2 linked regions of the Drosophila melanogaster genome follow. The protein of the gene in region 1 interacts with the protein of each later gene in a pairwise test. Each region holds a gene or a part of one and is shown on either strand. Other genes may lie near its edges. The genes, in order: ics and stck.

Region 1 (5,869 bases):
GGCTTTATGCCAGTTGCCTTGGAACTGGCCAAACAAAGCGCATTGAAAAATTGCCAGGAATATAGTAAGCGCCCAACGGCCGGACACTGCCGGCCAAAAGTATGCGCCCATGTCCGTGTGCTGACAGCTCCATAAGAGAGGATGTTATATTTCTGTTGCCAACAGTCGGATCGAATTATTCGGTCCACTTTAAGCCCACTTGAAGCTATTCAATCAGCCGACAACTCTTTCGAACTGTGGTCGTTCAATTCCGTGAGAAAGGGACACAAATTAGTGAGGGCAGGCAAGTGCCATCAATTAACTAGAATCCGGATCGATTATTTGCCGCTCCTACGCACATTCGCACATTGGCATGGATAACATTTAAACGAAGTAAACACTTAATGCGAATTTATGGCCGCCAAATGTCCAATTTGGAATTTAAGCGAGCTTGGCAATGAAGAATTTATGGTTTTTGGTCGCTATTGCGGTTAGAATTTTACATAGAAAATCGAACTGCAAAGTTCAATATAATTTTATGAAAGAATCGATTACCTAACAAAGGACACTTCTCAGGCTTTGATTTTGCTACACAATACAATACAATGCCTTAATTGCAATCATATATTAATATGAGTGGAACTGAGCATAAACTATGTATTTCCAAACATTTTGGCCACCATTTCAAAATTAGCACAATTTGCGCCGAGCTGCAAAAGTTTGTCAGCAGGAAAAAAAGGCAAACAAAAAGTTAATTAAAACAAAAATTACGGACAGTGGCCGGCGGTCGTTTGGTGGCGACTGTGCCGCAGCATTAGCAGTGCAGCCAAAAATGCAGCCGAAAAATCTGCGCGCCATCTAAAACAAAAATTAATTTTTGGGCCAGGGAAAGTTTTTATTTCCCTCCCATTGCTGTTGCTGTTGTTCTTGTTGTTGTTGTTGTTTGCTGGCCAGGCGAGAGTTTGCATTGTTTTGCATATTTTATACGGCGGAAGTGTATACGGCAAAGGCACTCGCCATCATGCCAACTACCCCAACCCAAAAAAAAAAAAAAAAAAGCGAAAAAAATGGTATGTGCAACACGCAAATTATGCAGGCGCATAAGACAAACTTTCTGTTTTGCGGATTCGACAACCGGCGGGATGAAAATTAATACGAAAGCCAAAAAACGGGGTTGCCCCCCCACCCACACAAACATCTAGTTCCTACGTATTTCTGAGATCCAAAACTGCATCGGCAACTGGAGCACCGCAGAGTAATTAAAAATACAGCCAATGGCCAGAGCAGAAAAACCCCGAGCAGCTTGTACTGAAGGAGATCATATCGGCCATGTTTGCAGCCCAGAAATCTGAGTCCCTTCAAAATTTGCATCTAGCATCCATCAAATAGATAAAATTGAAGAAATGTCTCAGCTTGCAGTTCTAATAAAAACTATTAAAAAAGAAAAGAAAATTAAACTAAAATGCATTAAAAAGGGTAAAAGCCAACATGACTATATTGAATTGATATTTTATTAAATGTGCTCTAAGCTCATTTCTTATTGCACTGCAGTTTTCAGTTTATAACGGTATAAAATTCTTAAGTGGCTAAGTAATAAGAAACAGACTTACTTTATTATTACTGTTTCTATATTGTTTTCTTTCGGTTCTAAGCGCTTAAAATAGCTTATATTGTCCCAGACTTTTTGAGATTCAGGCACACAGCAAATGGCTGCCGAATTGCAAACGCGATTTAAATGGGTAATGCCAGGACATGGCGATTGTTTTATAATGCAACGTCCCCACTTTCCACTTTTGCGCCTGCAAGCTTATTACAACGGTTAGCTTTATATTTACTATCCCAAGTCGTGTCCTTACTCACTAATATATCGAAGTTTACTTTCATGTGTATATGGTGTGAGCAGCAGAAGTAAGGCAAGAACGTAAAATATAGCGAAAAAAGTCATGATGTCTCACTTCACATGGAGATGTGATAAATCATATTAAAATCTTATATGCGTCAACGAGATGGCTGCATTTAAGATATTAATCAACTGTGTAATTAACTAATCAACAAAGCGCCTATTTCCAAGTCGACAAACCACAGATTTCATGCTTTAGTTATGCCTGTTTTTTGTCTTTTCGATATAATTCAAACTGGTTTCGACACTGTAGTGAAGATGCTGGAGAAAAAGCGAAATACTTTAAACAAAATCAACAAAACCCGGTATTGAGTTTGGGTTCGATTTGTTTTTTATTTTTTCCTGTCTGCCGGCAGTGGCGACAATCGAAAAAGGCAAAAACCAGCCCCCAGCTATTATTCGGATCCCCCATCACCTCCAACTCGCCCACATCCACATCGATCGATCTTGCTGACGCTGCGAGAGATCTTCTCAGTTTCTCGAGACGATCGGACGACGCACGACGCATTCCGCACTTTGGGTCTATTTTCGTGATTAATTTCGAAGAGCGGAGACGTATTCTAATAGGAACCCATGTTCCATTCTGTAACGTGAGTGCCATATAATCTGCAGAAATCAGTACGAATTCGTCCAGATACTCAACAATTTTACGCATACAGTATGAAAAGCCTTGGTGTTTTCCTACAAAAATAGGTCAAGTGCAGTGTTTGTGTAACATAGTGACCTAAAAAACGTTTAAATTCGTTTTCATGTGGATGAAAAGTGCTGAAAACTGACCGAAGAAAAACATATGCTAACAAAAAGTGCAGTTGGCGCAGTTTGAGAGCTACTGAAAGTGGCTGCCAAAACAGTTTTAGAATTACTCTGTAAGTAATTGTGGTTCATTACTTAGTTTTAGACCAACTACACGAAAAATATATAAAAATAAAAATAAATACATTTTACAACAATATTTTATATTTTAATTTAATACATAAATTAATACATAATTTAACATAATACATAATAATAATGTTAAGTCCTTTAAGACATTTGAATATTTCATTAATCGAGCAAAGTAAAAATAAACAAAATTATATCAATATTATTAAAGAATGCATGTTATTATAAATTCAATAAATAAAACACGTTACAATTAAGTTTTTACCAATCACAAGTAAACACACTTTCTACATGTAGATATGATAACATACATCGAACGCGCGTAAAATTTATGTTGGTACCTTTTTATCAACAATTGTTTGGTGAGCTTTGATTTCACATTCATATATAAGTAGATACAAATGAATAATGAACATCTTTTTTTTTAAATAATATAAATATAAATATTATTTAATAAATGAGCTCAATACTTATTATTCGATTAAGTCATTTACAATATCTTACATTGCTTCCTGTCGATGTAAAATTACATATTTCTACTTGTCTGGCAGCCCTGAAATACATATAACAGATATAATAGCTCACATTACAAAAAAATTGCTTACAAAATTTAAAAAAGCATAGAATTAGTTTGCCAAATTCTTTTACTATTCTGCTTTTAGAAATAAAAATTTATTGACTAACCTTCAAAATAATTAATTAGAAATGTATATTTTGTTCTGGTATTTTTTAGGGCGTATTAGGAATCAACGAAAATGAGTCAGTCTTGTATACCAGTGAGCGCAAAGATGTCGAAGGCAAAGAAGGTTTTGGATGAAGCCCGAGAAACTCACAATCCCGAGTTGGATTTGGCCGACAAGGGGCTGTCGTCCTTCGAGGAGTTGCCCGGACTGTGTAAGTATCAAAACCAAAGGATCTTGAAGGAATTATACGGATTTTTGCACTTCTGAGTAAACATAATGGTGGGTTACTTCCACGCAGAATGGAGCCTCGCCCAGCTGCTAAAAAAATTGTAAATTAATAATATTCTAGCGTATGTATTTATGTTGTGGTAATAATATTCATTTAAAATGAGTCTAAGCATCTTTTTAAATGGAGTCGCTTAGTTTTATTTATTGTGATGACGCCAGCAGCAAAATATGCATAAGTTTGAGTGTAGAGAACGTAAACAAACACTGTAAATACCGCAAATAAGATGTGTATACATATCTGGGAAATGTACTACAACTCCATAACTATGACTTCATTTACATAAAATTAGAATATACTACAATTATTAATCTTAAAACCATTAAATTTTTGAGAAAAAAAAAACATTGCGCATGCCTCTGCTTATATTGTTGTCCCGCTCCAACATTCGGCGTCTATACTTGTTGCCTGCAATCAGCTGTTTGCATTTAAACCCAGTGGTGAATTCACAGTGCATTGGACAATTATGAAAAACAATCTTTGATATCACGAAAAAGGAAAAATATGTATTTTAAAGAGTTTAGTATTCTTATTAATATAATTTTTTTTGCAGTCAACATGTCCAACATCACGCGCTTGACCCTGTCCCACAACAAGATCAGCGTAATCAGTCCGGGAATCGCGAACCTACTGAATCTGGAGATCCTGAACCTCTCGAACAACCAGCTGACCGAACTGCCCGTTTCGCTGTCGTCCATGCCAAAGCTACGCATCCTCAATGTGTCCATCAATCGGCTGATAAATCTTCCTCGCGGCTTTGGAGCCTTTCCGGTGCTGGAAGTGCTCGACCTGTCCTACAACAATCTCAACGAACAGGTCCTGCCTGGTAATTTCTTTGGTATGGAGACACTGCGTGCTCTGTATCTGGGCGACAATGACTTCGAGTATATACCGAAGGAGGTGGGTCAGCTGAAGAATCTGCAGATACTCGGATTGCGTGACAACGATCTTCTGGAATTGCCCCGCGAAGTTGGGGATTTGGTGCGACTGCGGGAGCTACATATTCAAAACAATAGGCTGCAGGTGCTGCCACCAGAGATCGCCCAGTTGGACCTACTGAGCAACAAGTCGGTCATGAAGATGGAGGAGAATCCCTGGGTCAATCCCATCGCCGAGCAATATCTGCTGGGCATTAGTCACGTCATCGACTACCTCAAAACGGAGACCTATAAGATGTGAGTGCACCATAGATCCATATATCCATAAATGTATATTCATCTGATCCTTTTCCTTGACAGCATCTACAACCGCCACTTGCAAGCAGGACGCAGTGGACCGCCGCCACCCAAAGCTGACAAAAGCAAGAAGGCCTCTCGAATTCGCGCATAGTGATTCTCCACCAGAAGATCCCAAGATCCCATGGAATTACAAATGTGTTCGTCTCGTTCGTTGTTAACCAAACCCGTTTTCGTATACTAATTTATAAGTACTTTTAAACTAATGCGTATTTCTGCAATGTGCCTTGACCCTTAGTTTCACTAATGAAAATAAAACAAAATAATAGATGCATATATGTATTCCTGCTGGTTTAATTTCGGATCCTATGCGCAAAAGAATCGTTAAATAAAGACACGCTTGTATATTTTATAAAATAGTAGGTTTTTCTTGTTTTTATTATCTTTTCTCATATTCATTCTTCTTTTTTAAGAAATTTGTTCATAATCATAATTAATTAGTTTACTTAAAGTCAATTAATTAATTCTTTATTTATTTTAATTAAATTAATAGTTAAATGTTTTTTGTTTTTGTTCTTTGTTTTCTATGTTTGAGAAAAACTAAAAGCATAGTTCTGCTTTGTTCGCTTTGAGTTTGTTTCGTTTCTTTGCATTTTTTCACTTGTCAATTTGAATTGAATACATTTTTTTTTTATCAATTTATGTTATTTAATTATTTTGTAAACGTATTTCGCCTTCACTGTATCTGCAATTCAAATTTAATTTATTCCTTAAAGTATATTTTAGTATTTATATTTATATATTTTTTATAGAGTTTATTTACAAGAGTTAAAGATGTTCTTTTACGAAAAGTCTGGCAGAAAAACAAACAAAAATGTAAATTCATTTATTCAGTAAATTTCTCCAAAATGATAGCACGGAAACGTCTTGTAAATTCGAATTGAGATAATTCCATAGCTATGCG
Region 2 (4,283 bases), on another chromosome or scaffold:
GGGTTCCTGGTATCGTGGCAAAGTGGAACAGATTATAGTTGTTCCACGGCAGCAGACAAAGTACCGGGTAATGTACCTCGATTACACGAATGTAGAGGACATAACCGAAATGGATATCCGTCGCTATCCATTAGACTTCACCGCTCCCTGTGCCACAAACCTTTGCGTGATTGACGGTATGGATATTAAACATTTGTCTTGAGCATAACATTTGAACAAACACTTTATAGAATTCCCGCACAACCCGAATGCAGCACAGGTTTCCTATCTGGCTGAGGTTTTGAAGGTCCATCAGTCAGTTCATATTGATAGTATCAAATATATCAACCATATAGCCGTAATTAAATCGGGAAGTCTTATTCAGAAGCTGTTGAGCTTGTAAATTTTAAGTGCATCAAATGCCATTTACTTGACACCACAACTAAATCGGGTCAAACACATTACGAAGTTATTGCGAATAAGCATTACGTTTTATAATTTTAAAAACATTTATATATAAATAAAATTCCATTAAATAACAACGTTAAAGGCTTTTAATACACAATGTTATGTTCCCTAGCTATTGATGCCGTTGATTCTCGATTTAAAATTTAAGTTACACACAACCGGATTACAACAGACGGAAAGGACATGCACAAGAGGTTTTAGTTTGTTTGGTTTTAGTTTCTCAAATGTTAAAAATGGTAGTGAAAGCGGGTCTACAACGACAAAGGCACTGTTTGGTGTGGATCTGAGACTCGCTCCAAGGCATTAGGTGTTCTTTTTCATTGTCATCTCGTGGGCGGTGCGCAGACGTCGTCTGAGTTCGTTTGGAAATCGGTCATAGCACTTTTTGCACACCGGCTTCTCGTCGTACTCGTAGAATTTCGATTTTTGTGTCATCTTCGTGTCGCACACGGAGCACGCAAAGTGGTGCACACACCAGGCCTTGTTCAAGGCAGTGAAAACTGTTGGCATTATGGAATGAGCGCATTAAATAAACCCAGAATATAGTTCAATTAAGTTACTCACCATCGCCTCCAATAACCTGGTTGCAGACGAAGCACAGGTTGCCAAAGAGCTGATGATAGTGCGTCTCGCAGTAGGCCAATCCCCGCTTCTCGTAGTGTCGGTGACCCAAGAAGGGTTTCTCGCACTTGGCGCACACGAAATGTTCCACATGCCAGTGCTTTCCGAGCGCCGTTACCACCCTCTCCTCAATCGGACGACGACAGGCACCACATATGGGAATGCCCATTTTATCGTGACAACGCAGACAATACAGTTCGTTCTATAATGGAATAATAATTCAGTTGCTTCTTATTTGCTAAAGAAAAAAAAACCCACCATATCGTTAGCAGCCAATCCTGGCCGGCTCTTGACCTCCCGAGCAGTGGAATCCAACTCTGTGCCGCAGGCCGTGCAACTGAAGTGATAGCCGTGGTACACTTCGCCCCGGAATCGCAAAGGCTCCTCGTCGATGAGGCCGCTGAAAAGCAGAGTAATTAGCAACATGTTTTCACCTAAAGCCTTTGAAACCTACTGGCATTTTTGGCATACATAGCGGCCGGTAATCTCCGCCTTCACCTTGGCATTGCACTCGTGACACAAGGCGCGGTTCTGGTTCTTGATGAATCCGCAATCAGCCAGCTCCTTGGCGCACAATTGGCAGCGGAAGCACTGTGGATGCCAGCTAGCTGACATGGCCTTGATGACCCGTCCGATGACGAACTCGCCGCACTTGTTGCAGCAGGGAGCGAAGAGCACGTGAAAGTCGCGTTCACAGTACTTACGGCCCTCGAACTCGTAGAATATCCCATCCTGGAAGGGTCGGAAGCACTGGGCACATCTAGAAAATGTTTATTAGTGAGGGTATTAGTGAAACAACTACATTGAGGTTTACTTACACGAAGCACTGGGTGTGCCAGAGTTCTCCATTGGAGTTAACAATCTTCTCAGTCGGCTCGAAGCCGTCGGCACATCGCGTACAATGCATGGCACCCAGCGACATGTTCGCTGCCTGGACTCTGTGAATTAAGAAGAAGATCAGGATCAGTTGTTGGTAAGTAACTAACCAATTCAGAGGCCATTACACTTCAGCCTTAGAGTACATCATGGTTATAGCTTGAGCGCAAAGAAAAACGACTTTAGGGCAGGGCGTGAAATGAGAAACTGGACAAAACAATGAGACTTATCGCTTGCCGGCTCTGTTGACGATGTCTGAATCATATTTCCTTCGAATGCACAGCCAAAAAGCTTTCTGGCATTCCGTGGAAGTTTAGCTTTCATTACAGAGAGTGTCGCATGGCAGTTGGATATCAAGCGTGATACGCTGCAGATGTGATGGCTTGGTGATATATCGTTTCGGAACAGGTTATATATACATATATAAAATATATACGAAGAACTATCATATTCGCTTTAAGCTGGATAACAATGAATGGCTATAATGAGTAATTGAAGTAATTATTACAAGCAGGAGCGCCATTTGAAAAGTTTGTATATAAACAATATATATAATAAGATGTAACTATCAACTCCCCATTACTGGTTGAGTCATTGAACATTCCTTGGCCTCCAAAAGGGGTTACAAATTCAAGCATCCAATTGGAATTGGGTTTGCCGCCAACACAACAGCGGCCCACTCATCATAATCAAATCCGACGAATACACACAAAAATACGAAGAGTAAACAATACACAGACACGCACTCTCGCACAAACACACACACACACTCGAGTGGCGGCGTTTAAAAATAAATTTGAATATGACCATGACGTCATCGATGGAGTAAACATCTGGCAGGAAAATTGCATTGAATGGGGGTCCAAAGCACCACCATCACTGGCAGAGGGTTAACGCTGGATTAGGGCATGAATGATAGGCACTGCTAGCCTGAATTAGTTATATTTTTTTATTAATTAGCGAAATGCTTATTTGTGCGAATGGATAACGATGATTATTATGCTGCCAAATGATGCAATATGTGGGCGTTTTGAAGACAAGGACGTTAAGAAAGTGGGGCGGAACATTCTGCTTACTGCACGGGCGGCATTCTGTGGGCTTTTCTTTTTTAGTTGCTTTCAACTGGTTTTCACTTGCGAACAACGGCACCTGTTGCACCTGGTGTACAACGTTTTCTGATCACGGCGAGTGAAACACTGCAAAAACATATAGAAATGATCAATCTGTGTCTTTTGGCTTTAAGCTCTGCTCGCTTGGCGGCCTTCTAGCCAGATCCGGTTGATTTTCAGCCAAGAAGACGATCTGCGCAGCGCTATCGCAGCACAAAAACAACAACACCTATATTGCCAAAATGGGCAAATCTCTGGAATTTCACGCGTTTCACTTAAGCATGTTCACATTTGAAGAATTGCATTCAACGGAAAAAGTACTTTTTACCTTCAGAGAAACCTTTTTAATTAAAGCCACAGTTTGCTGCAATTAAATTACTTTTCATTTAACTAACAGCTTCCGTGGAAAAAGACGCAGAAAAAACCACTCTACTTTATCACTAAAAAATCCCTGTACAACCTGCCTATCGATAGCTCTTCTGTTCTCGAGGCAGGTAGCCCTGAATGTCAATCGATAAACACCCAATACTACTGGGCGCCAATTTAAATTCGCTATTAGCCTATGTTACCGAAATACATCAGTTAAAAGAACTTTACGATTTAAGGCGCCACGCTTATCGCAGCGTGGCATTTTTGCTTCTTTGTCTCACCTTCTTATCAGCTGCTGGCCAACTGCTGTTCTTCTTCGAAACAGTTTCGTAACGCGCTCTTATCAGCTTACTGCCTCTACTTATAATTTCACGTACTATTTGTTTGTAAACAAGACCGGTTCGCATGCCAATTTAGGCTGCAGGCAAGAAATCCCTTTAGCATTGAATTTGATTGATTTTCTTTTTGCTATGTTACACGCCAATTGGGGAAATACATAAATAAATGTGCAGGGAAACTATAAAAGAATTCAATGCCACAAATGTCATAACAGTTTCGCTGATACTTATCATTAGAAAATATGTATTGATAAGAGAATCAAGAGCTTGTAAACTTGCTATGAAACCCACAATCACTATGAAATGAGTTTCTTTTTAAGCAACAAAAAGGAAAAGAAAAGTTTTACAGGTGTAAGTTATTTTTTCATATAATTCCCGATCGCCAATAATTTAAAATTCTCTACAAAGAGCCAGCATTTTGATGTGCCCACGGAACATGCATGTAAATGCATTATTTGTTTGCTTTAATTATTTTCCCGAATGTCTGTTTGCGGCAAACTTCCGCCTCGTGGGTGTGAGGGTC

The links.
Region 2: the proteins of ics (region 1) and stck interact in a two-hybrid assay, tested with the Drosophila melanogaster proteins (3 studies listed by BioGRID).

Annotation. Positions count from the first base shown.
Region 1 is NT_033779.5:13,638,896-13,644,764, reverse strand, and holds ics (icarus), read left to right. Parts: upstream 1-2,162; 5' UTR 2,163-2,745; intron 2,746-3,492; exon of another isoform or gene 3,493-3,494; 5' UTR 3,495-3,516; coding exon 3,517-3,655; intron 3,656-4,283; coding exon 4,284-4,905; intron 4,906-4,968; coding exon 4,969-5,059; 3' UTR 5,060-5,318; downstream 5,319-5,869.
Region 2 is NT_033777.3:8,356,194-8,360,476, reverse strand, and holds stck (steamer duck), read right to left. Parts: upstream 2,150-4,283; 5' UTR 2,096-2,149; coding exon 2,073-2,095; intron 2,007-2,072; coding exon 1,887-2,006; intron 1,829-1,886; coding exon 1,523-1,828; intron 1,469-1,522; coding exon 1,327-1,468; intron 1,271-1,326; coding exon 1,012-1,270; intron 948-1,011; coding exon 751-947; 3' UTR 517-750; downstream 1-516. Other genes in the region: veneno, read left to right, coding at 1-176, 231-382.